Linked DNA regions of Alligator mississippiensis. The protein of the gene in region 2 binds, or shares a complex with, the protein of the main gene of each other region. Links are inferred from orthologs where the notes say so. Each region holds a gene or a part of one and is shown on either strand. Other genes may lie near its edges.

Region 1 (15,245 bases), on a different chromosome or scaffold from region 2:
AACCAGTCTACTATGACTTTACCACCATCCTCTCCTCGGAGAAAATCATTTAACTTAAAAAGAGTTCTTAAAATAGTTATTTGAGGAGATGTAAAAATATGCCCAGTGCATCAGTTAAATATTTGCTTCAAACTTTACACAATGTAACAATTTAAACCTACTGAAAATTTATAGTCTGTATTCCTTATCTTCATATACCTTTTCTTGCAGTCCACTAGTACATCATACAGCAGTCTTAGAAGTGTATGCTTTTTCTCTGTGCTGAGTTTCCAATCAGAAATCCATTTTCGAACCTATAGAGAAAAAAATTCATAAAGATGTGTTGCTTCCCTTTGAGAAATACCTCTTAGAATTGCAAATACTGCCCGCTTCGCTCCAAGATGTTTAGCAGGAGAAAAAAAAGGATGGAAAGGACCTATCCTACAGATCTTGGTTGGATATTTATCCTAATGCCCAGAATTAGAACTTCTGTGAACTGAAGTCTCCAAATCTGTGCTTTGTCTTCTTAAGAGGAAGGGATGGATATACTGAACTCTGCCACCAAAGCAGAGGACAGAGAACTGATGCCCTAATGCTGGTTCCAGCTCTTACCCTCCATCCCAGCCCAACAAAGCAACAGGCAGATCCTGTGAGGTATTTAACATAAAGGAATTATTATATGCTTAGATTATAAAGAACTTTTACAAGATTAGACACCTACGCTACAAAATTTGCCTTTAATTCCAATAGGGCTTGACATCTTTCAGCAGCCAGAACCACTCTGTATTACTTCTAGATACCCTTTCATAAGAGAGGAGGCGTACTTAATACAAAATAACTAGTGACAACCAATTCATTACCTGATCTAGTTCAGTTGGAATGTACTGAATGGCACCACATGATGAGGCCACTTTAAGAAGGCTGCTGTAGACTGTATATCTCACAGGAGTGTTCTTATCCATACCATGAAAGAGATTGCTGAGTCTAAATTATAAAGAACAAGAATAATTTAAGTCTAGTGAGTATGGCTAAGTGTTAATGAATGGTATGCACAGACAAGAGTACTATCATATAAAATTTTAATCATTGTACAAGCATCACCATTTCAATTCTATGGCAGATTTTAAGAGGTCACAGTTTCAGAGTGCCTTCCGTCAAAGGATCTGGAAGCACTTTATATACTGTGATTAAGTTAGCTACACAACAGCCCAGGGAATTAAACAGAGCTCTCTCATTTTTACAGAGGGGAAGAAGGGGGCAGAAATCGACACTGCCCCTCCATACTCAACAGAAGCCAGGTCCCACAGTTTTCCCACCTTGTCTTTTAAACATAACAGACACTAAAACATGAGTCTCTTAAAAAAGTGATTATTTTGTAAAATATTGTGTTCCACTGGCTTCACAGGGTTACTTACAGCTGCAGCCTGAGACATGGACGCTCGCCTTCCCGAAATTTCACCAACTTCTCACAAAGACTTTCAATCAAAGCTTCCTGTTTGTCAAGCTCCAGGATAAGCAGCAGAGACACCACACTGTTCATAACACTCTCAACATCTACACCCAAGAAGAAAAAAAAAGCAGGCATCAATTTAATACTGCAAACAACCATCATAATTAAGAAACAATTAATCCTTTATTGCTGAAGAAGTGCTCCTGCCATTAATGCTTGTTTTGTCTTAGCAAGACATACAATAAGAGTGTAAATCCAGGAAAGGATTTTAAAAAATAATTAAATAAGTTCAGCTATTTATTAGACTGAACACCAAGTGTGGAGAGACACCAGCGTTTCCACTGGAAAGTATACCATCATATAAAATTTAAATTGTTGTTTAAGCACCACCAATGACAGCAGCTCAAGGTCACCCAGTTCTCTGCCAAAACATGATTTACTTTATTTGATTTATATGGTGCTCTACACAAAAAAGGCTCAGGGAGATTTATAGTAAAAAACAGATTTAAAAAATAAAATAGTAAATGGCAAACCAATCCCCTAAAACTGGGGTTGTCAACCAGGGGGTACTTGAGAAGGCCGTAGGGCAGGGGTGGGCAATTATTTGGGGTGGAGGGCCGCTTACTGAGTTTTGGCAAGCCATCGAGGGCCGCATGACAGGCAGCAAGGGGCAGATAAACATTCATTTTCTACATTGTTTAGGGGCCCTGCGGGCTGAACAGAATGGCTTGGCGGGTTGAATGTGGCCCATGGGCCGCATTTTGCCCACCCCTGCCCTAGGGGGTATGCGCAGGTGGGCAGGGACAGAGAGCCGCCACGCACCATCCTGTGCTGCCCACCTGCTGGACACGGGAGTAAGCTCCAGGTTCAGCTGCATGCTACCCCCTACCTTGTCTCTCCCCACCACCTGCTCCGTGTCCTGCTGCCGGGGGTACACTGATTCAAAAAGGTTGAAAACCCCTGCCCTAAAACTAACCTCAAATGCTTCTGAACCTGATCAACAATTACCACATATATGGAGAGAAGAGAACTTGATCTGTGACATTAAACTGACATCCCACTTTTGATTCAAAGGAAGACAGTGTACATTTCAAGGCCTGTGTCCCTATCTTAAGAGCACTCAGTAACTTATCAAGACTGCCTTAGCTTGCGGATGAGGAGCTGGTCAATGCCTGCTAACCAAACCCAATGGAACCTTATATCACAAGAGTCCATTTCATTTCCAGGACACAGAGCTTTCTCTGGAGTCAGTCCCAGACAGTGGAACACAGTCTTGACAGAAACAAGTATCAGTAAGTACATGCTTATTTTTAAAAGCTGCCAAAACTCTACCCTGAGAGAAGGAGATAAAGTTAGCTGCCTGTGAAAAATGTTATTTTGTGTAACAGTCTGAAGAGGCCCTCAGACTTCATGGTGGTGAGGGTTGCAGAAAGACCAAGACTGGCAACGAAGGTGTGAATTCACATTAAATTGTGGTGGCAGTTTTGTGCCAAAACTATATACATGACAGAACAACTATGAGCCAAAATCCCTGACCCAATCTATTCTCACAGTTCTTAATTTCAAATCCACTGATGTCAAATGGGAATGCTCCAGCAATTTTTATTGATCAGGCTAATCTAACTTTAGAGTGTGCTCAATTCTGACTAATTCTTCATATGTGGGTGTCATTTAGATGCAACAAATCTACAGCCAATATTGAATAAAATCCTATGTTTGAAAGGGTGAAGATCCATCTAGAGATGAATGACAGCATGATAAAATGGAGAATGACAAAAATGGAGAGTAGCATGTCTAGCGTGTCCTCTCTGAGAATAATTGGGTACCCCCTAAAGTCCCACATAAACACCTCCTTAGCTTCACTATAACTGGCATGACAGGCTGTGGTGAATAAATGTTATCTGCAGAAAGTAAAGTATTATATGCTGATCTTCTACTGAACATAACCAGTTAATGTACATGTTTTATGCAGTGAAGGTCATGGAACAAGTGTCCAAAACTTGCCAACAATTAGAGATGTTGTTAGTACCAATGACTTTTGTTGGCTTCTCCTGCGCATTCATTATGCATATTTAAAGAGAGGAGGGCTAAGATTGGCTCAACTCCCACAGACCACTATACCATAGACCAAAAAGATTAAACACTGCCTCAGATGGCCACACAATCTATTTTTTAATTACTACTAGCCAAGGAGAGGGTCACTGTGCTATTGCATCCTTTTCACTGTAGGCAAACACCTTTAGTACACAGAAATTTTGAAGTTCCCAATGGGTTTCTTTCATTTTATGAAAAAACCTTGATGTTCTTACATAGCTTGGTCCCTTTAAAAATTTAGGGCGGGATTAAAAAAAAAAAAATCCAGCATTGCCCTAACTCCGTTCCCATTTAGGTAAATATGAGTTCTATGCAATTTTCAAATAGAAACAACTAGACCAACACTGAAAATGCCATCCTAGTTCACACTGGCCTATTGTTTGAGTAGTGAAGTAATGAAGACACTTACTCTCGGACCATCTGCCCTGTAAGCTTCCCATGCAAGTCTGGGGTGTATCGCAAGCTCTGTACTTCATCATAATGTTCCTGAATATGCTTGCCAAAAATGTCCATACCTGGACTTCTAAAGACACAAACCTTTATCATCATCCTTCAGACATACATCGCAGGCTTCAATAATCTGAGCTAAGTCAATATGAAGTCCACCTTCAGAATTCTCTTCAGAAATCTCAGCACCTTTTGATTTTAGGTAAGCTCGAAGTTCTGCCGCCTTTTAAAGGAAGAAACAAATGCAAGCAGTTCAAACTAGTAATAAAAACCCTATGACACTGACTTTATTAGAAAAAAGCCTAATTGTTCACATTTTCATTCTCTGTATGGGCATGTGTTAGTGAGAAAAGTATGAGAACAATATATACTAAAGAAAATTAGTTACTGGTAAGTAATCCCTTAACTTTCTGTAAGAAATGCAAAAACCTAGAACTCCTGGTTCCAAAATGATACCTTTTATTAGACCATCTGAGCTTTCTGTAAAATCCTAATGAAGGCAGTTTGGAGTTTTTTCACGAATTAGCAAGGTAAATTAAAAATCCAGTGACCTCCATAAACTTAATGACAGTCCTGTTAATGGCAAATCAATGGAAGAGACTTTTCTGTGCTTTTTGGCACTGGCAAGGCCTCAACCAGAGCATGCTGTCCCTAATTCAAGAAATTTGTGGAGAGATTGGAAAAACTCCGGTGGAGAGGGCCAAAAATGTTTAGAGGCCTGTGAAACCAGACTCATGAGAAAAGGCTTAAAGAACTAGGGTTATTTAGTTTGGATAAGAGAAGAGGGGGAGGGGAGGAGGGAAAGGGAGTAGGCTGGGGGTTGATAATTGTTGTCAAATATGTGAAAAGGGATTATAAGAGATGGAGGCGGGCTCTTTGTGGCTGCAGAGGACAGGACTATAAGCAACGGCCTCACACCGCAGCTGAGAAAGTTCAGGTTTGAGATTAGAAGAAACGTCCTATGAGGACGATTAAGCATTGGCACAGGCTACCCAGGGAAACTGAAATCACCACGCCTGGAAATTTTCAAGAGCAGGTTACTAAGACGCTCGCCCGCCTCGCTTCTATGACACTCGTGCTGAGCTCAGGAGCCATCCGCCCCCGTACGCGCGGCCGTCAGGGCAGTTGAACAGCCCTCGAGCCCTCCCCGCGGGGCCCAAGGCGAGGGCGGGAGGCGCGGAGCAGCTGCCCCCTGCCGGCTCTGCCGCGTCCCCTCCAACTCGGCCGCCACCCCTCCCCGCGCCGGACGCTTGCGTCCCTCCGGAGCCGGCCACGCCCCTGACCTGGTCCTCCTCGGTGATATCGATGAAGGCTGGGACGCTCATGGTGGCGGCGACCGCTGGCTTTACCACCTGGACCGAGCACGCCGCCCGCACCGGAAAGAACGGGTCGCTTCCGGTGAGCTGCACACCTCGCTTCCGCTTCCGGGGTACGGGAAGGGGAGGACTGTTCTGACGCTAAGTACTGCGCGCGAGCGTCCCTGCCCAGCGTTCATGGGCGCATGCGCAATGTGTCCCTCTGCCAGGGCCGGGGTGTGCCGGGGCCTCCCTCTGCGCGAGGCACTGCGCGCTGGAATGATGCTACGACGTCTCCTCACGTCGTTGGTGCGTCACGTCAGCACGCGGCGCCCCTTGTTCTCCCGTCTGGGTTGCCAGGTGTGCGGCAGTTATCGTAGTTGGGCCTACTTTTCACCCTACCCTTGCACGGTGTACAGTCCGGCCTAGAGAAAGTGCTCAAAATGCCCCATAATTTTTGATGTTACAGGGGTTTAGGTTGTAGCCGTGTTGGTCTAAGGACATAGGCAGACAAGGTTCCTTGGGTGAATTTGATATCTTTTATTAGACCAACCCAAATAGTTGGAGAATAGTTATTAAGCAAGCTTTCGGGTTCAAAAACCCTTCATCAGGCTAAGGAAGTTTCAGCAGTTGGTGTGTGCTCTTTGAACCTGAAAGCTTGCTTAATAACTATTCTCCAACTATTTGGGTTGGTCTAATAAAAGATATCAAATTCACCCAAGGAACCTTGTCTGCCATAATTTTTGAGGCATCTCATTGATGTGTGCAAAACTGAGGTAGTCTCAGAGAGTCTTAACTTACATTTGGTTTGCTGTCTTTCTTTGTGTATGTATTTGTGTGTGTATATATACACACACACATATATACACTGTGGTTCACTTGACAAGCCAAAACACACTTTGACAGTTAAAGTATTTTAGTCCTCTTACAGTTTGCCACACACCCATCACCATTCCAGCGCTTTTGCTTGTCATCATATTTGTCCTTGCCTTTGTTGCCATCCTCACCGTTGTCCTCATTGTTCTCTTTGGAGAGCTTGCCTATGAAAAGTCTTTTCTAGTCCCTTTTCTACCATATGAGGTCCACCATCTCTTTCTCTATGATTACCATATTTCCAAAATCAAAAAAGAGGACACCAGTGGGCAGGAGAGTGGAGTGGGGTTACATGATTGGGGGCTGGGGAGGTGGCAGCGATATGCCTGTGCCCTGCCTCTGCCCCTCACTCCTATGCCCCCCCCAGGCGCTGCCGGTGCCCCTCATTCCTAATCTGCAGCACCCTGCCCCACAGCCCTGTCAGTGCTCCTTACTCCCAATCCAGAGCCCACTTTCCCCCCAACCCTACTGCCCAAGCAGCTCCTGTGCACGTGTGCGTGCACACACACATGCACACACTTACTTGCTGGGGCCTGCACGTAGAGCACGTGACCCCCCACAGCAAATCACTTTGCCCACTGCTCCCAGCCCCAAGCATCCAAGCTGCTGGGAAAAGAGGAGGCAAAGCAAAAACCTAGACCTTTACTTGCATTTTAAAAACCCGCCTGAGCATTAGGACAGGGGGCCAAAGAAGAGGACATGTCCAGGAAAACCCAGATGTATGGTAATCCTACTCTTTCCCATCATCCTCTTCTGTCTTCCTGTAGTACCAGTACATTTTACTCAGCCCCATTTTAATACAGTCCTTGATTGTGAGGTCTGAGTGCCTATGTTTGACTGCTTGCCTAGAAATAAAGAAATGCTTCAATTTAGATGACCCAATTCTCACTCACTGGAGGCGTGCAGTGAGCAATATAAAGTAAATAAGACTTATTTGCATAGTTATTTGTGTACTTATTTGCATATTTTTCAGTGTGCAATAGTTTTTCAGCAAATACAATCATTTTGAGCTTCCAATATGATAATTTCATATTTAAGACCTGGCAATGCTGAAGAGAAATTAGCAGATTAGCAAAACTTCTGTATCTGAGTCAGTCTGAGATCAAAGCAAAAACCACTAGAACTATTGGCATGCAAATGAATGTGCTAGGGTCTATACGTAGTTGAACCCCCCCCCCCCCCCAAACTAGGCAAATGCAGTAAAAAATATTGTCTTTAGTTCCACAGTCATTACTCTCATTCAGATTCGTAAAATAAGATCTAGCCTTCCTGAGTCTCCGGTGCTTCACTAGGAGTTATTTCTACATCTGAGTTTATACTCCCATGCCTGAATTCATATTCCTGTACCTGAGTGAAGGTGTTTAGCTAGAGCTAAAAACAGCTTATAAGTTTGTGAGATAGAAGAGAGTCACTCCCAGGAATGGTAACAGCAACATTGCAGAGGCACGGATTGTTTGAATAGTGCAACATCAAGACTCTTCAAAAGGAGAGAGGGTTGTTAACACCTAATGAGTGGAGAGAGATTAGCAGGAATCAGAGGGATGATCATGATCCATGAAGTTAGCTGATTGTCTCAGCTGCTGCCTGAATAGAAATGCAGCTACTGGGTAGTTGGTTTTAAAATTTCAGTGGACCAGGGATTATTTAGGGTTTTAACTGCACCATTGCACCGCCCCCTGGATCCACCCTTGGTCTGTTTCAGGTAGAAGGCAGAGGAGACTTGCACCTTATAGACTACCATATTTTACCGTGTACAAGTCTATGTGACATATAAGTTGATCCCATATTTCTTATAAAAAAAAGTTAGGATTTTTGTAGATCTGGTGTGTAAGTTGACACCGCCTCACCACATACACCTCCAGGGGAGGCATCAGGTGCTTGAACTCAGCTGTTACCTTATCCCAGTGCTATATAAATGTGGGTCAGTGATGGCCGCTGTGGCCAGAGCCTGTGAGCTGCAGCCACAGCTGGGTGGGCAGCAATGGAGCTCAGCACTGGGGGCTGTGAGTGGCTCCTGGCAAGTGCTGCTGCCACTCTGTGCCCTGGTGCTGTTGGCAGCAGGCAGCAGTGCTGCAGCTCCTGCGCCATCAAGTGGCAGCTGGCCAAGATCTACCCACAGGACAGCCACTGGGCTGTGGGTAAGTGTCCCTTGGCCAGACTCAATGGGTGCAAGGTTTGGGTGCCCAGCCTGGCTCTGGGGTATTAGACAGGGGGGAGGCAGGAGCCTGGCCTGACCTCAGTCAGTGCCAGGGAAATTCCCAGACACCAGCATGCTGCCTGTCTGTGGGCTGGGTACGGCAGGGTGCAGGGTCCGGCTGAGGACAAATGAATTTTGAAACACAATATGTTTTTATTTCAAAGTATTGACATAGTGCATAAGTCGAGATGGAAATTTAAGGGTAAATATTTTGGTTTCAAATATCAACTAATATACCATGAATATGGTAGCTGCATCAGAGAGATGCAGCATAAGCCCACTGCTCACAAAAGCTGATGCTGTACATCTGATATAATTAGTCTATAAGGTATAAATCTCCCCTGCCTTCTCTCTGGGCTCTTCCCCTGGTGTCACAGGCCTCAGGGGGCCTGTAACCACCTTAACTGCAACCTTCCATCTCCTCTTGTCATATGCAGTCTCCTTTTACCTTTTGGCATCTTTGCCTATCCTGTTCAGATCCATTTTTATGTTATCTTCCCATCATTGCCTTGGTTTACCTTAAGGTCTGATACTTGTCTTTGGTTTGGAGGCCCTTAGGCTGGGGTTTTCTGCTTAGTGGGCTTCTTATATTTTGTATCTGCAACTTCCACCCTTGTTTTTTCAAGTCATTTATTTCTGGGTTCTCTGGCCCCTCTTGCCTCTGAGGGAGGGAGCCCTACATTTTGGAGGCTTGTGCCCACCCTTCCAAACTTCAAATAGGTACAGTGAGGAGTTTTTAGATATAAATTGGAACTCATGCAGTCAGGTTGAACAAATTACAGAGTACAAACTTAGGTGTCCTCTTTTCCATTTTAATGGATTAATAGCAGCTACCTGAAGAATCTTTTGTCAGTAGCATCACAGGTGCTGACTCTGTGGGTACCCTGGGGCTGAAGCACCCAGTGAAAAAAATCAGCGGTTGCTCAGCACCCACGAGCCACATTGGGTGAGCCAGGTTGAAGAACACTGACTTTTCTGGGTGTGCGTGAGGCTTTGTTCAGGAACGCAAAAAAACCCCAAACCAACCCCCCCCTCCCCCCCCCAACAAACCCGTCAGCAAAAACCAAAGCCTATGAATAGCATGACTTAATTTTGAATTCTCTGCAATATAACTGCAGAGTTCAAGATTCTTGAAAAGGCAGAACAGATTTCAGGCAGTCACAGCTAGTCATTGTAACAACTCAGGCTGCAGAGACAGAAAATTACTCCTCTACAAAACCTACTTTTTATAAATTGCACAGGTAACAGCACAATTCTCTGATTTATGAGCTTTTTGGTTTGATATATCATTAAGACATATTCTATATGCAGTCAAGTTGTTGCAGTAATACAGATTCGTTCTGACATATTTACTCACTGGTTCCTGCATAAATTACACTGGTAAGTAGACCGGACTGCTTTACTTGAAAGAAAAAAGTGTTTAGGTACCTATTTAGTATTGCTTGGTTTCTTTATCTTTTAAATAAAACTGCTCATCTCTACAGTCTGTAAAGTCCAGTTCTTGGCCTTTACTCTTTGGCAGTTTCCTTCTCTCACTTCTTGTCTTTTCACTACCTTAATTATATGTATAATTTTTTCAAATTGTTTCTGTTTGAGCGCACATATATTTTTGCCAACTGCAGTTGCAATGTTTAAACAGCAGTTTCAAGTAGTTTCAATGTTTAATAGTAAGTTGTAGCTGACAAAACAATACTTCTCAGTACAGAGGTGCAAAATTAATTCCATATTTCCAAAGCTGAAGGTTATGTATGCAGGATACCTCTGTAAGTATATAGCAAGGTCCAAATTTTAAAATGTATTTAGGTGCCTAAATAGGAGGTAGGTGCTTAAATCCTAATGATTTAAATGGGACTTAGACACTTTTGAGGCTATGGGCCTGAGGGTGACATTACACATTGCACTTAGACCAAAGTAAGGGCACTTAAAACATAAGTATCTACACGTTAAAACTAGTTAACTCATGTTAAGTGCCCCCTGAGTATCTCAGAATTATGCCACTTCAGGCATGGGTTAACTCTGGGCCATGCTTCCCAACTTGTTAGAGTAACTTCAATCTGCTCCATGGATTTGCAGTTTGCAGTCTTCCAGCATCCCAAGATGTACTGCTCCCAATCCCCCTCACTGTCCCCCAGAGCAAGGATAGAGGTCAGGTGTTCCAGCTGCTAGCTATGTCCCTGCTCACCAGCCCTCAAGTGGTAAGACAGAGCAGAGCAAGCAAGAGATAGTACTGCCCATAAATGCATGACTGCCCACAACGATTTCTAACTTTAACACTGCTTAACATCCCACAGATTTAGTAGGTCTATGTGTAATGTATATACCTTCACCATAAGTTACTTTCAATTTAACCCTTCCTAGGGTGACATCCTGGCCTTGAAGTCAATGACAAAACTCCTCTTGATTTCATCGGGCTGTTATTTTGCCTCGGTTTTTGATAAACTTCTGATTCATTTGGCCATTTTCCTTATTATTACTTTGTTACTGCAGTCAGTTGGCAGTTTGTGTATTTTTAATTGCACTGGTTACTGCTCAGCACTACTGTATGACTATGTAGGTATTTGGCTCCATAGACATTTAAAAACAATCTTATGAAAGCAACACGTTCCGTTGAACACAAATTTCTTCCCCTGAATGAGAGAACAACCTATGTGTGACAATGTCAGTCAAATAACAGCACAGTTCTGAGAGGCACTCAGATTTGTGACTTCCCAGTTCTGGAAGTCAAGTGCACCTCTGGAAGGCACCCAGATATTATGAGTTGTATGAGATATAGAATATTTGCTAACACATAGAAGAGTGTGACAATTAGCTGCAAACTCAAGTTAAGATCTATATTTGTACTGAAACATTCCAGAGCCCAGATGTTAACAGGGCTTTTCCATTTTGTTCTAGTTTAGGGGTGTCCAATTTATAAGCCCCCAGGGGCCACAGGCATTGGAGGCCTCACAAGTGAGCCACTGGGTTGTACAGACACTCCCCCACACCCTCCTGTTGCACTGTACACCTGCATAGGCACCTCCATACTACTGCACTGGGCACCCAACTCCTTGCTACACTGCACAGGTACATGAGACCCCTGCTGCAATGCAACGGTACATGAGCACAATACCTTCCCCACTCCCTTCCCCACTTCAACGTGTGAGTGTGTGAGCATGATTCCTAATAATGCTGCAGCACATGCCCTCAGTGGCACTCCTCCTACTGCTGTAGTACATGGGTGGAATTGCCCACATACACTGTCCTGTCCCCCCAGCACACATGGCCCTATACTCACTCTCAGCTTGCTGCACTGTTTGCCACATTGCCCTGCTCCCTGGGGTGCTCCCTGGGACACCCCCAAGGCAGCCAGAGGAAGGAGGGACAGCCCAGGGACCCCGGCTGTTGTTGTTGCCAGAGCAATATAGGTAGGCAGAAGTCTGAGGGGCACAACTTACTCCTTACAGGCTGCATGTAGCCCATGGGCCACCAGTTGGCCCATGGGCCCTATTCTAGTTCATTCCATTATAAAGATTTAAGTTTTGCTTCAGATCAGGCCTCAAAGCTTGAACACCTCTTAAGTGCTGTGGGGAGCAGACCAGGGTTTTGATTCTGGTCCCTTTCTAATCTATTCCAATAATTAATTGTAGTAAAAGCTAACTCAAAAATGTATTTTTTCCAGAAGCTAGCTATTGTATTTTTCCTTGCATTGGATGACTCTGATACATGGTGAGAAAAGGACAGGAATAATTAAACCCAGCACTCCAGAAGAATAAGTAGGGAGGTGACATGTTTAGCTCGCAGGACTGAAATTGTAAGTGTCTTGAATTCTAATCCTAGATGAGCAAATTACTTGTCTTGTGAACTTTGGCAAGACATTCGGTCCGCCTTTGTTTCAGTTTTCCTATCTGTAAAATGGAGAGAATAATAATGTCCATCCCTCCCCCCTTCATAAATATTTGCAGATCTTAAAATTATATCTGTATTTTCATATCTGTAGTACCCATTTTTCATGGTGTAGAAAGGAAGTCTGAAATGTTTTATCTTTTCTTTACTTCAATAATAATGAATTGTTTTCTGTTTTTTACAGTCAGGGTCTTACCTATCTTATTGACAATTGGAGAACTACTAGGTTCATGATATCATAGGTAACTTTGGATTTAACCTTACCTGAGAGAGAGAGGGGATTTTTAGCCATACTGTTTAAAACATTTTGTTTTTAGTTAGTTGTTGTTAAAGCCTATTTAACTTAAACCCCTGTAAAAACAAGAAAGGTCTCTTGCCAAACATTCATGGCATGCCCCTTCTGTTAAGGGTTGAGAAAATTTCCAGTTCACATAACTGAAATATTCAAAAGAAATCTTCAGCAAACTAACTGAGACAAGACTTGATATTCCTGAGTTTTCTAAAGTACAACACATTTGTGGGGTAAGGGAATAAAACAACCAAATCCAATTTTTGTTTTTTTTCTCCTGTTACTTTTTTAATAAACATTTTTCTAATAAGTATCCACCAAAGTAGGAATTTCAAAGTGCTCTCAAGTTACTTAATCACTTTTGAAAATCCTCCCCTAAATTACTGGAAGTAGCACCATACTATAAGCTGCTTCCTGGCTTTCATTGCACTTGAAAAAAATGAGGTTTGGAAAATTGCAACATGCTTAAAATTCCGTTATACCTTCTGTCTGCAGAAAGCGCAAGAACACAGGCAAGTTTGTCAGATTTGCTTATGGAAGGAAGGGACATCACTTCCTCTACAGAAGGCCTGTGTGGTTGGAGAGGGCAGGACTGTTGGACAACTGTTCTCCTAATCTTCAACAACAACCTAAATACTGTGGAATCCTCCAAAACACAAGAGGAAAGGGTTTGGGGAAACTGTCCAGTAGGAAGGACCTAGGAGGAGCTGTGCTACCAACAGGACAGAAGGGAACAAAGAAGCCAAGAGCCAGCATGAAGGTATGGAACATAAGCACTGGAGTAGCTCATATAGGCAACTCTTGGAGCGTGAGATTGACAACTGGGTTCAAATCTTTCCAGAGTCTTGTTTAATAACATGCTTCTTTTTTTGTAGGGAAGGATGCCCTGGCTTATTATGGCTAGGCAAGAGTAGTTGTTAGCAAGTAATAAAGAGCTTTTTCATATCCTATAAGTCATAGGGTAATTCAAAACATATTTCTGTGGGGGGAAAAAAAAACAGTAATGGAATTGAGCAGTACCGGGAAAAAAGAGCCAAAGTGATTACTTTTTAATGGGAACTTTGAGGTTGTTACTGTAACCCTATGTTTTGTATTGTTTAATGCTAGAAAGTGTGAATCATTTTGCTGATCTAATGCTTTGTAATGCGAAATAACAAGGTGAGGTATAGTTCACAGTGCCTGGATTTGTTTTATGTTTCAAAAGTTTAAACAAATTATTTGCTGTATGAACAAAATGATAGTGATTTACTGATCGCAGTACCGAGGGTGCTTTCCTGAAGTGTAAAAGCTGTTTAGCAAAAGGAACGTGCTGCTGTCAGCAAAACATACTCCAAACTCAGATGCTACAAACAATGTAGCATTAAAATGGAGATTAAGCACTAATGAAATAGCATTCAAAGTTAATAGTTTTTTTTATGCATGATAGATTAATTTAAAATATTCATGTTAAGAAACTCTGAGTTCCAATGTTGCCCTGAACATTAAATGAAAGTTTCTGTGCTTTAGGAGGAAGAATCGGAATCCTGCAGCAGTCAGGAAAAGTAGTAATTTACAATTAGTCCTACGTTGAGAGCTATATAGATTAAAAGACAGCATTGGGAAGTTAAATTAGACTGTTCTTTAAAAAGAGCAGCTGTTACCTTTGTAATTTTGAAAGTTCCCTTTTATGAAAATTTCTCAGTCCTTATTAAAACAAACCTGGTGGCTCTAAGTTCACTTTACTAAACTGGGGTGAAATTCCACTTCCCCTACAGAAAGCTGGCTTATTTTAATTTTGTGTTGGGAATGCTGGGTGAGCTGAGGAAGACAGAATCCACACCCAAGGTCTGTAGAGATATACTGCCAGCTTTGTGCAGCTGTTGCTTCAGCATGTCTGCTGGAATATTGGCAGCAGTGTCATCAAGCCTGTAGCAGTAGTGTTGAAGATGTGAATGATAATAAATAGACACCCTGGTTCTGTCCCAGACCTGTTCTCAGTGGAGCGTTTTGTCTGAGCCTATAACACCTTGTAGAAATTCCGTGAAACATTTCTAAAATGTTGCATGTAAAATGTGGCGCACACAGAAATCATGCATGTTCCAAATCCTATTGATAAAAATCTTTTCACTGTCAAATCATGCTACCATTAATTGCTGTATATGCCACGTATTTTACAGATAAACAGATTTTTTAGAAAGTTTTAAACAACTGTGGTGATTTTCAGTAAATCAAGAACACTGCTCTCTGTATGTATTTTTAAAGCACTGCTATAACAAGTTTAGCAAAATAATATATTTCAGTTATTGAGGAAAATGTAACTTTTCAGTGAATTGTATAATGAATCTGGAGTTTTAAACATTTAGTGAATGCAGCTCAGACAGATTGTGGCATGAATGGGGTTAAAAGTCTGCCCTAAGATGCCAGACATCCCTGCAAAAGCTGCCAGGATTGCAGTGGAATGCAGCCACCTGACAGGCTGGCTCTCTGCAGTCTACTAATACTAACAAGTGGGAGCAGATCAAGAATATCTTCATGGTGGAATGTCTACAGGCCCCACCCCCTGCAGCAGGGAATATGAACCAGAGCAGAGAGAGTACACAGAAAGGGCCAGATCATTTCAGAAGAATCTAGTATACATACACACATCATTGGCCAAATTATTTACAACTTAGCTGGTGAGGAGAGGGGGAGGTGAAGGACAAAAGCAGAGTGGGATGTGTGATAGACACCTGTTATAAACCTGATGTAGACAGAGCTTGA
Region 2 (15,094 bases):
GAGCTACGGCCACCCCAAAATTCCCATAGCCACCCCTCCCAGCACCACCGCCCACCCCACGCAGCTGAGCCCACTCCGCTCACAGCCCCTGGCCCCAAGCCCACAGTGGGCAGCCCGCCTCTGCCCTGTGCACAAATCCGGGGGCCACATGCCCCCGTGTTTCCCTCTGGGGGTTCACACAGCTAAGATCCACCCCCGCCCCCCCAGCAAGCTGCCCATGGCTTCGTCCTGCTCCTAGCCCCAGGGTCGCATTCACCGCCCTGGCTGGGCAGCATCTGTCCCTGTCCCAGCCCCACTCCCTTCCTCACCATGGGGGCCTCAGTCTGTGCCTCCCTACACCCTTCCCCCCTACAGACTTACCACCAGAATGCTGCTCTCCAAGCTGCCTAGCTGCATTCGTGGCTGCATGCATGCTGCAGCGGTGCACATACACACAGCATTTATTGGTGACATTATTGGCTACACCAGCCAAAAAAATAATGTTAATTTTCCTTTTAGCACTGCTGATCCACTATGCAACCAATATATCATAAAAAGTTAGGTTTGGAAGGCACCTCAGGAGGTCACATCTAGTCCAACCCCCTGCTCCAAGCAGGACCAGCCCAGCCAAGGCTTCGCCTAGCCAGGTCTTAAAAACTTCCAAGGATGGAGACTGCACCACCTCTCTGAATAACCTGTTCCAGTCTTTTACTACCCTCCTCGTGAGAAAATTCTTCCTAATATCTAACCCAAACTTCTCTTGCTGCAACTTGAGACCATTGCTCCTTGTTCTCAGTGCACCTCCAATTCAAACTTCTTCTCCACACTCCACAAAGCTAGCTTGAATTTTCAGTAACAATCATCATCTTGGCTCACAGCAATCTCAGCTACACCTTTTCCTTACATCACCCTTTTATTACTGTTGTAGGCACTGCTGTTTATAGGCTGCTTCCTCATCTGATCCCCTGTCCTTCCAAGACATCTCTTGTAAAACAGGGTGCTGTGACCCTTAAGATTGTTAACTCATCAGCAAGCATTAATGGGTACAGCAGATTCGCAATGAGAGATCTCTCTCTCACTCTACCACACAAGTCTACCTTACCAAATTCAACATGCCTAAGAAACATGGGCCTCAGTGTACTGCACAGACCTACGTCTCCATTACATCTGCCTCAGCCAGAAAGACAGAATGCGTTTCCTTCTGCTTACCCAAGAGCTGGATGACCAAGGTTTAATTTAGAGAGGACTGAACTAATGTCACCAGCTGGCAACTTTGTGGACCTCAGAAGGAATGTAATCATTTCCAAGACAAGCAGGCTGGGCAGTCCTGGATGCCCTGGGAAAAGCTGCAGCAAGGAGTGCCTTTTTCCATCTGTAATTGTCCAGAGAGTGCGATCTTCTCTCTCCAGTGCACACAAGCATGTACAGTTGTGGATTCACAAAATTAACCTGTTCCAACACATTCCACATGGGCCTCTCCCTTAAGATCACTTAGGAAATGAAGCTGGAACAGCCTAATACAGCACACCGAAGTGGAACTGGAGCATCAGTCTAGCATGCTCCCAAGTGTCCCGTAATTTGCACAGGCCTCCAGTCAGCTTCTGGGTAGAATTCCACACGTTGCTTTAATCTACGAAGCTGGCAATGACTTGGCGCCTAGTTCGCGAGGCAGCACCTCCCCCCCGTCCCCCAAATGACAGGCTGTCACGGTGGAGATCTGCAGAAGCACAAGCTGGAGCAGCCCAAGACAAATACGACACTCCTGCTGGCAGGACATTCCCTAGCGTTGTCTGCCAGAACTCAGATATCAGTCTTCTAGCAAGGCAACGAACTCCTCATTTCCCCCCAGCTCTTCTCCAAAACTGTTGACAGGGCAGGACTATGGTCTATACGCTTAAGGACAGTCTTTTAACAGCTTTTAGTGTACGGGACAGGAGTCCAGGATACATTTTAAAAATCTGAGTAACTTTCATGAAACCAGTGCAATTTCTTCTAGAGTCTTATTTTTTTCACTGTTACCCCAAAACTAAGCAGTCCAGAAGTGACACCTTTCCAATGCTGATACTACAGCAACCTCGCTGAAATCTTAAACTATTTCAAGGGCTTGTTTATACATAGCTGACTGTTCAGTTATAAAACTGATGCTTCCCTTTCCACATGCATGATCCCAGGCCAAAGCCGCTAGCCGCTGCTGCTTGTTACAGATCCATATTCACTCTTCTATACGTCTCCAATGCATGAAAATTCAGGTTGCAAAAAACCCACCAAGAATCATCCTTTGTTATTCCACCATCAGGCAGAAAGAACAAGTCATCGCACTGCCCGAGTCTCCAGCTAACATTCTGGATGGCTCCATTTTGCACAAAAGTAATCAAAGCAGTCTGGAAGCTGCTCCCCCACACTGTGACAACCATGTTTCCTAGTTTAGGCTTTGTTAAGCACAGGACTGCCCAAAAGTAAACAGAAGCGTCTTAGCACTAGGCCTGTCTTCCATATAATTTCATATTCCAGGTAACATTTCAGAGTAACTTCTTGCTACTTTAGCAAGACCTTAGTTATTAAGGTCTGTAACTCTTAAGTTTCCTCAGCTTACTACTACCATTATGTTTTTATTCAACTTAAATGTTTTTTAAAAACCCACTTAAATCACCAGTAAGAAAACCTAAAAAATACCAAACTAACCAGAAGAGAATCTAGAGTTATATTAAAATAACCATACATGGCATAGCAGTTTTCTCATTCTGAAAGACCACGATTACATCCAGTTATAGCCCTTTAAAAAGAAGCAGACAGCTGGGAAGCAGCTAGGTGGCTACACATCTATCTGACAGACATTTTGGCAGAAGCAGGAAGTTGTTGAGTGTTTCAGGGAAAACGTGGCAGCAAAGCCTTACTTGCCAGAACAGGTTTGGGGGCTGTAAAATGCCAATTCAGGCTGTTTCCCCTCTGTTAAAAAATAGCCTAACCACTGTGCACCAACACAGGGTGTAGGTTACGCACACAGGAGAAAGAAGCACATCTAAAGCTACAAACTGTTCAAAGTCTATTTGTCCTACAGAAGTATTTAACTTCATTAAGATAAGAGGTGCATTGATACATCAGTCCCATACTAAAATGGCACTGATATACAGAAAAATTACTATTGGAAGTTGGCTTTTTTCACCTGATGTGGCTGTTAAATGCCTTGTGCATGTGCGCAGCCACAGCATGCATGCGGCCAGGAGCGCAGCACAGCAGCTTGGAGAGCAGCATTGGCTTTTAAGTCTGTGGAGGGGGGGTGCAGATCGAGGCCCCCACAGTGCAGGACAGAGTGGGGCCAGGGTAGGCACTGCACAGCTGGGGTGGGGCATGGGACAGAGCTGTGAGCGGCTCATCTGGGGGGCACTGGGGTGGCTCCCACTCTGCATACACTCCAGAAGGGCATGGGAGGAGTGTCCCCGGATCTGCGTGGGGCTATTGGGGGGGGGGCGCTGCAGCCACCCCAAGGTTTCTCATAGCCTCCTCCCAATCTCCCTCCAGCACCACCACCGCCTGCCCCAAGAGCAGTCTGGCCCAGCCCCCTCTGCCCCCAGCCCACAGCTGCAGCCTGGCCCACCAGACAGATCTGGGAACACATGCTCCCCATGCCCTCCTGGGGTGCGCGCAGTGGCAAAAGCCATCCCCCCTGCACGAGCTGCTCATGGCTCCGTCCCATGCCCCGCCCTGGCTGAACAGCGCCTGCCCTTGCCCCACTCCCTCTCACCGCAGGGGCACCCCCCCATGCTCCTTCCCTCCCCCCACCTGACTTACCAGCCTGCTGCTGGTCTCCAAGCTGCTGGGATGCTTGTTGGAATCAGATCGGTATCAGCTGATATGGCTCCTTAAAAATTGGCCTTTGCTATCACCCCAAAAAACCTCTATCGGTGCACCCCTAATGAAGATAGTACAGAGACCGTTCACTTTGGTTTTCTTAATGTCTTCATTACAAGCAGCACCTAACCCAAGCTATGGGCAACTCTGACACAGCCGTACACTTCGTACACAAGGTCCGGCAGTTAGCGCAGACAATGGTGGGGCAGAGGGGAGGCAGGAGGGGCGAATGCCCCAGGCTGTGCAATATGCTCCCCAACCTGACACACCCTAGTAGCAAGGTGCTGCACTCACCTGGCACCTCCCTATTGCAAGATGCTTCTCTCCACCCCACCCAGAGGCCCCACCTCTGTAAAAGCCAAAGTATGCCCCTATCGAATGCTTCCCTGGCTGCAACCTGAACAGCAAAAGTAGTGCTGGAGCCCACAACTAGCAAGCACCAATTACCCTAATCAAGGTTAGAGCAGGACCTACTTGCACCCGTGTCCGGGCGAACCAGAAAGGAGGAACACACTTCTTTCATCATCTAGTCACCAATAATAAGACTGTCTACAGCAATCTCTCAGTAACCTAAATTCAGTGTTTAATTCTAGGTATTAAGTTACCAATGTTCGTTCACCGACGTGCACAAAACAAAGCGGCCTCAACTTCAAATACAGAACGTCCCCTCCTACGGCTTGGAAATCTGCGACAATTCACACTCAAACGCAGGAAACAGCGAAATCAGCTCCGAGAACCACCTCAAGTCACTACGTCGCATCTCATCACCTAATCCTACGTAGCACTGAAGGGCTGTCTGGTTTCCCGGGGAAGGGCGGTCTTAGGGCTAAAAGACAACTGCAAGGGCAGGGACCGTTCCTAGCCAGCAGACGGTGGCTCCAGATAGTCCCTTCTCAGCGCCAAGCCCAGTTGCTTATATCTCCCTTTGGCCGTCACCCCCGTCTCATCGCTTCTCTAGGCCAAAGTCCCGTCCAACAGGATGTGACACGCTCTTCAGCGGGGAGCACGAGATTAACACCAGCTGGGAAACCATAAAGCAACTCGCTATGGGGAGACCCACAAAAAACTGAGAACAGACAGTGTTTCTCTGTACTCTAGAAAACGAGACACCTTCAGAGACGTGAGCACCCGGGCGCTGGCTCCGAAGCAGGAAGGTAGAAATAGGAGAGAAAAAAGAAAGTTCACGGACATCTGCCCCCCAGAATATCCTTGCGCAGTTTTGCTCGACATCTCATGTGCAAGCGTCCAAAGCACTAAAGATGGCAAGAGGAGTAGGGCTCCCTTCTAGTCCAAACCCCTGCCTGAGGCAGGGTCGCCCCTGTCCAAACCTGCCCGGACGGTCCAGCATCGACAGACGCGCGGGACAGCAGAGCGAGCCCAGCCCCGCCGCACCGCGCCGCACTGTCGTCCACGAGCCGTGCAGTTCGGAGCGGTAGCGAACAGGACGCACGATCGCCCTGGGGCGGGGGCAGATCTCGCACCCGGTCCCGCTGCTTGGAAACCGGCCTGTGAGCGCCGACTTCTGGTCTCACGCACACCCCTAAACACACACACACACACACACACTACACCCCCCCAATACACCTACACACACACGTATGCAACTACACCCCTAGACACGCCTATACACACACACGTATGCAACTATACTCACACACCTGCACCCCTAAACACGCCTATACACACACGTTTGCAACTACTCACACATATGCACCTACACCCCTAGACGCGCCTATACACACACGTATGCAACTATACTCACACACCTGCACCCCTAAACACGCCTATACACACACGTTTGCAACTACTCACACATATGCACCTACACCCCTAGACATGCCTATACACACACGTTTGCAACTATACTCACACACCTGCACCCCTAGACACACCTATACACACACGTATGCAACTATACTCACACACCTGCACCCCTAGACACGCCTATACACACATGTATGCAACTACTCACACATATGCACCTACACCCCTAGACACGCCTATACACACACGTATGCAACTATACTCACACGTATGCACACCTCCACCCCTAGACACGCACTACACACACACACGTATGCACACCTCCACCCCTAGACACGCACTACACACACACGTATGCACACCTATACGCACACACACGGCCCGAGCGCAGCCCGGCCCCCCCCCGGGGCAGGCGGCCCCACGGGAGAGGACAGGACGGGCCGGGCCGGGCCGGGCCGCGCTCGAGGACACGCGTGCCCGCCCCCCCCGCGCGCACCTTCACGTCGTCCTCCTCATCCTCGCCGGCCCAGCGGTCGACGCCCACGCCCGGCACCAGCGGTTTGGCGGCCGGATCCGCCGCCTCGAAAGTGTCGGCGTCTGTGAGGGGAGAGAGCGGGTGAGCGGGGGCAGAAGGAGGGGGGCGGGGGGCGGCGGCGGGAGCAGCACCTACCCCACGAGTCCGCCTCGGCCGCCATCTTGCCTCGCGGACGGGGGGGGGAAGGGAGGAAGAAGGGAGCGCCGCGCCGGGCCGTGACTCGCCGCGCGCCGCGCGGGGCATGCCGGGATAGCGGCGGAATGGCCGCCGGGGGGGCGGGGCTAGCGGGGGGCGGGGCGGTCTCGTCTCTAGGGCCCTCCCCCTCTGCGGGGCTGAGGCGGCCTCCCGTGAGGGGGTCCCTGAGGCTTGCCCCCCCTCTCCCCCCACTGAGGGGGGTTTGTCGGGCTGGGCCCCCCCCTCAAAAGGGGTCTCTGAGGCTCCCCCCCCCACTGAGGGGGCCTGTGGGTCTGGGGCAGCTCGTAGCCATGAGCGAGCTGAGCCCCTCAAGTTTTTAGATTTAAAAAAAAAGTAACCCCAAATCCACGTTTCCTGTGCTTTAAAATGAAGCGCCACTAATATAGAGATGCCTATATAGCAGCGTTTCATTTTAAGCGTGGATTTTGGGGGGGTTAGTTGGGTTTTTTTAGCCCCCAAAATTGGGATTTTTTTATTGGCGGGGTCCCGGTTTCCTGGCGGTTACGCGGGGTGGGGCGGGCACCCCGGGGCCTTCCCTCGGTTTGGAGTTTGCCACCTTTGTTGAACGTCCCCGTGGGAGGCGCAGGCAGTCCCCACAGGACAGCTGTCCTTGCCCTTGCCAGGCCAGGCCAGGCCGGGCCCGGCTGGGGGTGATGCCGGTGGAGCCATGGAGAGGGTTCAGGACGGGACGGGAGCGGCGCATCGGGAGAAGAGAGGACAGGGCACCCTGCCGGAGAGGTTGCACCCCAATTTGCCGAATCCTGCGCTTGCTTCCCAGGTCTTCCGAAGGTTCACGTCACGTCTTCCAGGTAGGGAATCAGTTGGCCTGAGAGCGCTGAAATGGGGTCGGCTCGCCTGTTTCGGGCAGCCGGGCCAGCAACCCTTGTTCGTGGTGTGGAGTCTCGACCGGCCCTCTCCAAGCATCCTGTTATTTTCAGTCCTTCGTCTCCGGGTGCAGGCTGGGGTCCACGGCTGGGAGCTCCGTCATAATTGGGGTCTCCCTCCCCTTTTCCGGGGGCGATGGGTGGGAGAAGCAGTTCTTTCGTGACGGCGGAGGGGGGCTTGCCGAGACTAAAATAAAAGACGCGGTGTTCAACCATGAATCTCCTGCCTAACGTGACCAAAAGGTTCAGCGTGGACGCGGCGTTCTGCTTTGCCCCGGGAGAAGCTGCTGTGGTCGCAGTCTAACGAGGAGCTTTAGCTACGACGTGGCTTCGTTCACCTGCACCTGCACCTGCCTGCACCTTTCCAGCGGTGCTGTACTGACCGGGGTGCGTGAGCTAACACCGTGAAAACACACTGTTTTTACCCGCGTGTCCTTTGCACGTGCACCTTTACAGCAAGGGGGTAAACCGGGGGGTAAACAGGTGCATTCATGTTAGGCGCCTTGCAGTGTTTTAACTTCGCAGGCCTGGTTTAAGTGACATATTTTGCGTGGACAATACTGTTGGTCATTCTCACGTGTGTTCAGAGAGAGAGGCAAGGCTCTGATCATCTAACATTTGAAAACTATAACTCCCTTGGTCAGTAATATGTGGTGTATATATGAATAATAAACTTCTTAATGAAGACAAGATCTCTGAGTCTGTGCTGGTTCCTCCTGTCCTCTGGAAAAGACAGAGGCAAAGCTCAAGTACCTTAATATAATAAATACATAAATGAACTTCTAGGAAGTAAAACAGTAAAGTGCTAGTCAGCCACTTCACTCTTACCCTTGCTCTCTCATATGCAAGTCTCCTTGACTGTAAATATGTTGGCAGTATAAGCCTGCAATTATAATGGTAAAGAGATGCAAATGTCATTCAGGGCACCAACACACAATGTTTTATTGCGGTTGAATATGCCGGATTATCTCAATCTAGAGGAAATGAACACAGAATCAAAGGAAGAAGTGCTAGATATGGGATGTAGTAGGATAAAAGGTACCAATTATAATTTAAACAAATATAGCCATTAAATGCATGAAAAGAATAGGCAAGTGATCAGATTTAAATTCATACTGGCAAATTCACCCATAGTGCAAGCAGCTGTATCTTGTGTCATCTTTCCCAGGAGTCCCACCAATTTATGGCACATTAGATTGAAACTTGTTCCCTTGTCACTATTGTCCTTTCTCCTCTTTTCCTAGGAAAGAAACATGGAAACACAAACCATACCCATTTTGAATGTGCTTTTTCACTGAGCACATTAACAGTGTTCAAACAGGGCAAGATGTTGAGAAGAGCCAACGGCATTGATGGTGACTTAAACTGTTTGTATTTGTACCAGCTTGTGCTGTCATCTAGTCAGTTCCTTTAACTAAGCAGGGCTGAGCTGGATTATTGCTGATACTTAGGTGGAAGACAGCCAGTGAATACATGGGTACTGTGGGAAGTTGTGTTGGTTATTCAGTAGCCGTTACTTTTCCTAAACCAGGGGTAAGCAACTTTCTGGCTCACTGTGGGGCGGAACAACACACCCCATGTCAGGTGCTTGGGCAGGTGCTAGGACCGGCTACCACCGCTTGTCCTTCTTGTGTGGCAGTACATGGGGAGCACTTGCAGGCAGAGCCTCGCACTGCTGAATGCCACCAAAGCCCCACATCCGTGGGCTGGATCCAGTGGTTTTGTGGGGTTGCCAACCCCTGTCCTAGACCATGAGTTCAATGCTGACTCATAGCACTACTGTGCTTCTGTAGGCGCTGTCATTTGTGTGACATGGTATTTAAAGTGACATAGTGTAGGACTTGAGGCAAGGTCTCCTGTCTTGACTGACTTCAAACAGTGGGGTATCTGCCTTCCTAAATTCCTGAAATGAGTTTCAGTTGTCTCTTGTAGTTCAGAGTTTTATTATTTTCCATTTTAAATTGATGGCAGCATGTTGATGTATGTTGTTAAACAGTTGTTGCAGTGACCTAAAGTTGGTTGGACCTAAAGCTAGCCTGCTGAGCCCTAGCAAAATATCAGGAAACTTATAAATGTAAGATGATATTTAATAATCAAGAGTATCATAAATAATTGCTTAGCTGTGTTAGTCTGAAGTCAGGCAGAAGGCAGGGGAGGCTGGCACCTTACAGACTAGCTGGTTCAGAGAAGCATGTGGTTTCACAAGCATTAGATGCTTGTGCCTAATAATTGGTAAGGGGTGTGTAAAGTGATTTTTTTTCTCAATAACTTTTTAAATTTTCTAAGTATGTAAATTTAGTTTTAAACACATTGACCTTGAATTCTGGTTTAAATTATGCTAGGAGTCATTATGGGGTTTTGTTTTGTTTTTGTTTTGTTTTTTACTCAATTGAGTAAATATTGAATTATGGCTAAATATGAGTTAAGCCAATTAGCAAGCAAAGCATCCTTTAATAGTAGCAAAAAATGAACTATATTCTTTACCAAGTCCTAGAAATAGTATATAGAAGCATCTGGATATCCATTAAAAAAGATATCTGCAATTACAGTTTGGCAGCATATACTGCCAGATTTTTTTTTGATTTGAAAGTTAAAGTTGTTGAAAGGAAAAGTACCTCTCAGGGTCATGGAGGGATTTCATATTTGTAATGTCCTCTGAAATTTTGAACATCATGTCAAGGGAATTGTAGTTATACTATTTTGTTGTATTGTCTTTTTCTGTTTTTATAAGTTATTTTGTTTTCTACCATAAGCTGCCCTGAGCCTTTTAAAATAGAAGTACCAAATATTATCCTTAGTAGTTGGGATGGAGAGGTATGTCCTAAAATAAAATAATAGTCTACTCCACTTACCTATGCAGATAAGCATATCCAATCAATGTATACGCATAAGTGCACCATTCACTTAACTGCATAACATAATGGCAACCCCAATTTGTTGCCTGTTGCTCATGTTCTAACAAATATCTTTCATCTACATCTTGGTTAAGTGCATAAACCAGTTAAGTGCATAGCATCTTTCATCCCTGCTAACTACTTTGTAACTCAGTTAATCACATACCAACTTGTCAGTGTATATTTTGTAACCGATTTTACCACCTGAAGAGTGCCTGAAGCAGTGTAGGGAAAGCAGTGGTCAAAGGGCTGCTAGCAGAAGTCGGTGTTGAGACTGCACTTAAACAGAGTACGCTGAGCGTTCAGAGAAAAAGTTTCTCCAGAGCACTGTGCTGTTGCATAGCTTCAAAATTTGAATTTGGTCCAGAATTTGGACTTTTTTTTCCAGCTGCTCACTTAGTCCCCCAAAGCTTAGAAGACTTTCTACCCAGTCTTTTGGTTTGCCCTATTGTGTAGCAGAATTAAGGACCAGCTGCAAAATAGACTCTCTCAAAGTTTTGTGGTGGCCAAATGCATGGTTCTGGCTGAGGAATATTGCTGTTTTTGTGTTTAAAAGTGTCCAAAGAAAGTCTGTATTTTCTTCCAGTGTCTCAGAACTTTTGTGAGGATGTCTTTTAATGGTTCTTAGTTGTTAACTGGAGAGAGACATTTCTAGACCCATGGGGAGCCCCTTACCCTAGCTGTGCATCAGATCAGGATGGAGCGCAGGGTTGGTGTGCCAGCACATGGCCCTGGGCCCAGCATGTGTCTCTAGACCTGGACTTGGCCCATAGCCCTGAAGGCAGCGCACAAGGCTGGACCCAGCATGCAGCCCCAGTGCCAGTGGGACAGATTGCGCCCTGCTGCCCCGTGCCACCTTGGTGCTGGTGTACTGAATTGGACCCAATCATTCCATATTAGGCCCTACTGCATCCCCAGTACGCAGCCCCCAGGGAGCTCAAACCTCTGGTATTTATCTGTACTCCATGCTAAACATTCTTTTTCCTTCTTGGGGCACGTGTATTATATTCATGAACCTGTTATTTAAGGAAAATATCGTATGCAGTTTCAGGATGTTATGATTGGCGGTCCTACCAGGTATGCCTATATCTATGGCTGCCTGATGTCCCATTCCAAGGTCCTTCTTTCAGTTAGTAACTGCCAAGTATCTGTCAGACCCACTGCCATTCTAGTGCTGGTCAACTTAGGAAATGACAATTTTCTATTAATATTATTTAATTCGTTAGCACAAATGACAGGAGACTAGGCTGTGGAGGGAAGGATTCCTACACTGGTACATTATGACAGCTGTGTTTTTGTTTTGTTTTTTATTCCTTTTTTAAACTTGGAAATATATAAAACTACATGAAATAAAATTATTAAGGTTGTAATTTCAAGCTGTCAAAAGTAAGGAAATGCTAGAATTAGTGTCTGTGCAACCTTGTCTCTTCAGTCTCTAATGAAAGGGGCTATGGACTGGAGGCAGAGAAGGGACTGTCTTATGTCTAAGGCAGTTGCTGCACAATGGGCAAATTGCTTAAGTAAGACTTAGTGGGTGATCACTAATTATGTGCTCCTCATTTTTCTTGGTATCCTGCTTGAAAGACCCTAGGGTCTGATTTGCAGAAGTGTTGAACAGTCATACCTGTAACTGAAGCCAGTTGGAGCTGTGCTTTATACTATATGCTTTGAAAGATTTGGTTCTAGATATCTTAAACTGGGCACCCAAAGTTAGTGGCTACTTTTACCCCTCAGATCTCAATATATCAGTTCTTCATCTGTAAAATGGGGTGAAATAGCACATCGTCATCTTGCAGGCCGTTGTAAAAATAAATTCATTAATATTTATGATATTATGGTGATGAGTCCCATAGACAATTCACTAATAATTCCATCTTCCATACCCAGGTCTGAATAGTTTTGGACACCTACTGAACAGGAAGAAAATAAAATATTGAATGGCTGCATGTCAATTGAGCACCATCCACCATGTGTACTGGCTGAGCAGGGATCCTGTGGGGGGGAAATAGTGTTTGATTGTGTATTCAAAAACTGTTCCATAATGCATGTGCACAAAGGAGGCAAATGTATAGGTAGCCTTGATTCTGGCATTTCCCAACACAGGTGCTTGCCTTTGCAATATTTAATAATGTTGTTTTGATGAGTTTTTTTTTGTGTGTGATTATATATATTTTAAGCAGCCTGACTAGGTTGAAATGACAAGGAGTTATTTTTAGCTTAATTTTAAACGGAATCAAATGTCCTGGGGGCACGGGCTAATGGCAGTGGCTGACTAGTCCCTACAATACAGTAATAAATAATAAAGAAATTAAGTTTGGGTTTTTTTTCTGCTCATCACAGTCTACCTGCTGGGGCTTATAAAATAATGATTCCTAAAGGACACTATTACTGACCACCTGTTTTCACTTTCTTTGGTTTTAAAGTTGGAAATAGCTTTCTCTAACAAGTCTCTGTGTAAGCACCCCATCAGGGCCCTCTACTAGCCTCAGTGTGAGGCTAGAAAACCAGTCTGAAACCAAGACTTATTTATCTGGAAAACCTTGGAAACCTTCCACAAAACTATCTAATCAAATGGTTGCCCCAGACACTGTCAGAGCGTGGAATGACTCCTGGAAATCGCTCTTTATGCTGCATACTTCTTTACACACTTCTTGATGCTTTCTTTCACAGGTGACACAAAGGAAATACGAGGTAATGAGCATGCCAAATCTTTATCATAACTTCAGAATCCTTTCAGGAAGTATAACACACCATGTGGCCATATCCTATCATGGTATTTTCACATACCATAGGACCAGGTTGAATATCCTTTCTGCTTTTAATGAGTTAAAGTAGGTAAGATGGCATATTAAATTTGTGCACCATTAAAAACAGTAGTTCCAATCAAATGAAATCTCAACTAACATAGAAAGAAATGGTTGGCCAGAGCTTATCTGTGTGATTTTGTGAACAGAGCAGATTGACAGTTTGACAGAAGCTGTCCTGCCAGAAAATCCTGATTTGAAAAATCTAAATGTTTCAAAATAAATCAACCAAATGGGGGGGGGGGGGGGGGGGGGGGGGGGGGAATGATGACAAGTTTTTAACTCTTGCTAGAATTGGGGGTGAAAGAAAAATCTGAACTGTCAGAATTTCCTATGAAACAGAAAAAAATGGGTTATTCTTCAAGTTTTGTCTGAATTTGTTTCCCCACTGATGTGCCCATAACCCTTGAGCTGGAGTGCTGATTATTTGTTTATTTCTTTATTTTAGCCAGCATGTCTGGTGGGGTTTCTCATGCCTCCCGCCCAAAATTGTAAAGGGCAGGGCAGTCCCTTTTTTTCCCTTCTTGCCAACTTTTGCTATGAGTAAGCTATGAGTTTGAGTAAGCTGCTAAATCTTCTTCTGATGCCTAAATAGTTGTAAATAGCTTTAGATAGTTCAGCAATTAGTCATAGGTTTTTCATAGTACTTTTTCCTGGAAAAAAATCCATTATGTTTTTTCCCTGGGAGACTATTCCAGTACTGGCCTTGTGTCAGATCAAAAGTTGCACATGAACATTTCTCTAGAGGCTTCTTAGTTTTCTTGTTACTAACGGATTTGTAGTTGGAACTCGGCATTTTCCAGAATATTTCAAACGAATGACTGGTTTCTTTATTAAATCAGAAGTTTATAATCCACTCAATTTGATCGGGCCTCCTGTGCAAGGATTAGGGGGAAAAGAAAGAGGAGATTTTATCCCAGGATGTCCCTTAGTCTCACAGGCTAGGCTGGGGAGAGGGCAGTTTCTTTCACAGAAGAATGGGTAGGAAGTTTGCGCTCCAGTTATATTGAGAGTCTATTGCACAAGTGGAACCCTAACAGAGAACCAGGGTTAGGCTGATGACATATTTCCACCCATTGACCTGTCAAAGGGAGCAATAATGAGTAGTACTGTGCACACTGATCTACTTGGATTCTTGTCTCATTCAATCCTGAAGAGGTTAGAAATCTATTTTAACAAGCAACTACCGGTAGCTTGGATGCAGAGGAATTCACAAAGAGCTTCCATCTTTCTGCCAGCATCACATAGGAGTTGCCTGGTGTCAGTTGACCTTGGGAGAGATTTTTCTTCCATTTCATGTACAGAATATCATGTAGAGTAAGGTAGGGGGCTACATATTATTAACTGTTTGGACTCTCTTGTCCACTGAGCTTTCCCCAGAGATTCCCTATAGATGGTCAATAAGATGGGAAAAGGATAGAGCCAGGCAGGGGCAGAGAGAGAATTTGCTCATCTACCTAGAAATTCTTTCAATTAGTACTTTTCATGGAATCTGTGACTCATGGTCTCTAATGTAGTCACCCTCTGACATCCCAATGAGGCAGAGAGCAACTAAGGGCCAAATATTTGTCTCTACCTCAACATGGGTTTTAATGGAAATGAGGCACCTTTACAAATCTGGCCCTCGGTGGCTTTCCAAAGACACGCAGGAAGTCAAGTACAGGGGTGTGACCCTGGATATCCTAAACCTTAGGCTTGTACCCTGATCATCCTGTATGATAACCCTGCAGTGTTTGGTCTGAGAGAGAGGAACTGAGTCATTTTAAGGAGTTTTCATACACAGACTGAGATGGCTCATGGATATTAGCAAATAAAAGATGTCACCTGGAGACCATTCAGTTGCTTTTCAGTTGACTGACTTGGCAAAGAGTTTCCACAGAGGTGACATTTGCCTAGATTACTCACGCCAGTGACTGGTTTCTTTAATGCTATCTGAACTATTGCATGCTTTGAAGGTCTAATTCCTTTCTTGGAGGAGCCGTTGACTGTTTCTGTCAGAAAGTACGCAAGAAGGTCCCCGTTCTTTTCCCCTACCAGGGGGGTGAGATTACTTTTTTTTTTTTTTTTTTTACACAGTGGCTGAGAACCATATTAAATGTGATTCCTTATATAAGTGAGTGAAAATTTTGGAAACGGGGAATATTAACTTTGGTTCGTTATTCTTGTTGCCTGCAAATCTCCTACCTTTTA

Evidence for each region.
Region 1: EIF3J (region 2) and EIF3M share a complex: the UniProt entries of both Homo sapiens proteins name them as parts of the eukaryotic translation initiation factor 3 (eIF-3) complex. The link is inferred for Alligator mississippiensis from reciprocal best matches to the Homo sapiens genes EIF3J and EIF3M.

Annotation. Positions count from the first base shown.
Region 1 is NC_081825.1:205,263,403-205,278,647, forward strand, and holds the start of EIF3M (eukaryotic translation initiation factor 3 subunit M), read right to left. Parts: upstream 5,364-15,245; 5' UTR 5,296-5,363; coding exon 5,254-5,295; intron 4,194-5,253; coding exon 4,061-4,193; intron 1,534-4,060; coding exon 1,395-1,533; intron 964-1,394; coding exon 840-963; intron 294-839; coding exon 199-293; intron 1-198. UniProt on the Homo sapiens protein: Component of the eukaryotic translation initiation factor 3 (eIF-3) complex, which is required for several steps in the initiation of protein synthesis.
Region 2 is NC_081834.1:1,710,374-1,725,467, reverse strand, and holds the start of EIF3J (eukaryotic translation initiation factor 3 subunit J), read right to left. Parts: upstream 6,370-15,094; 5' UTR 6,288-6,369; coding exon 6,263-6,287; intron 6,190-6,262; coding exon 6,089-6,189; intron 1-6,088. UniProt on the Homo sapiens protein: Component of the eukaryotic translation initiation factor 3 (eIF-3) complex, which is required for several steps in the initiation of protein synthesis.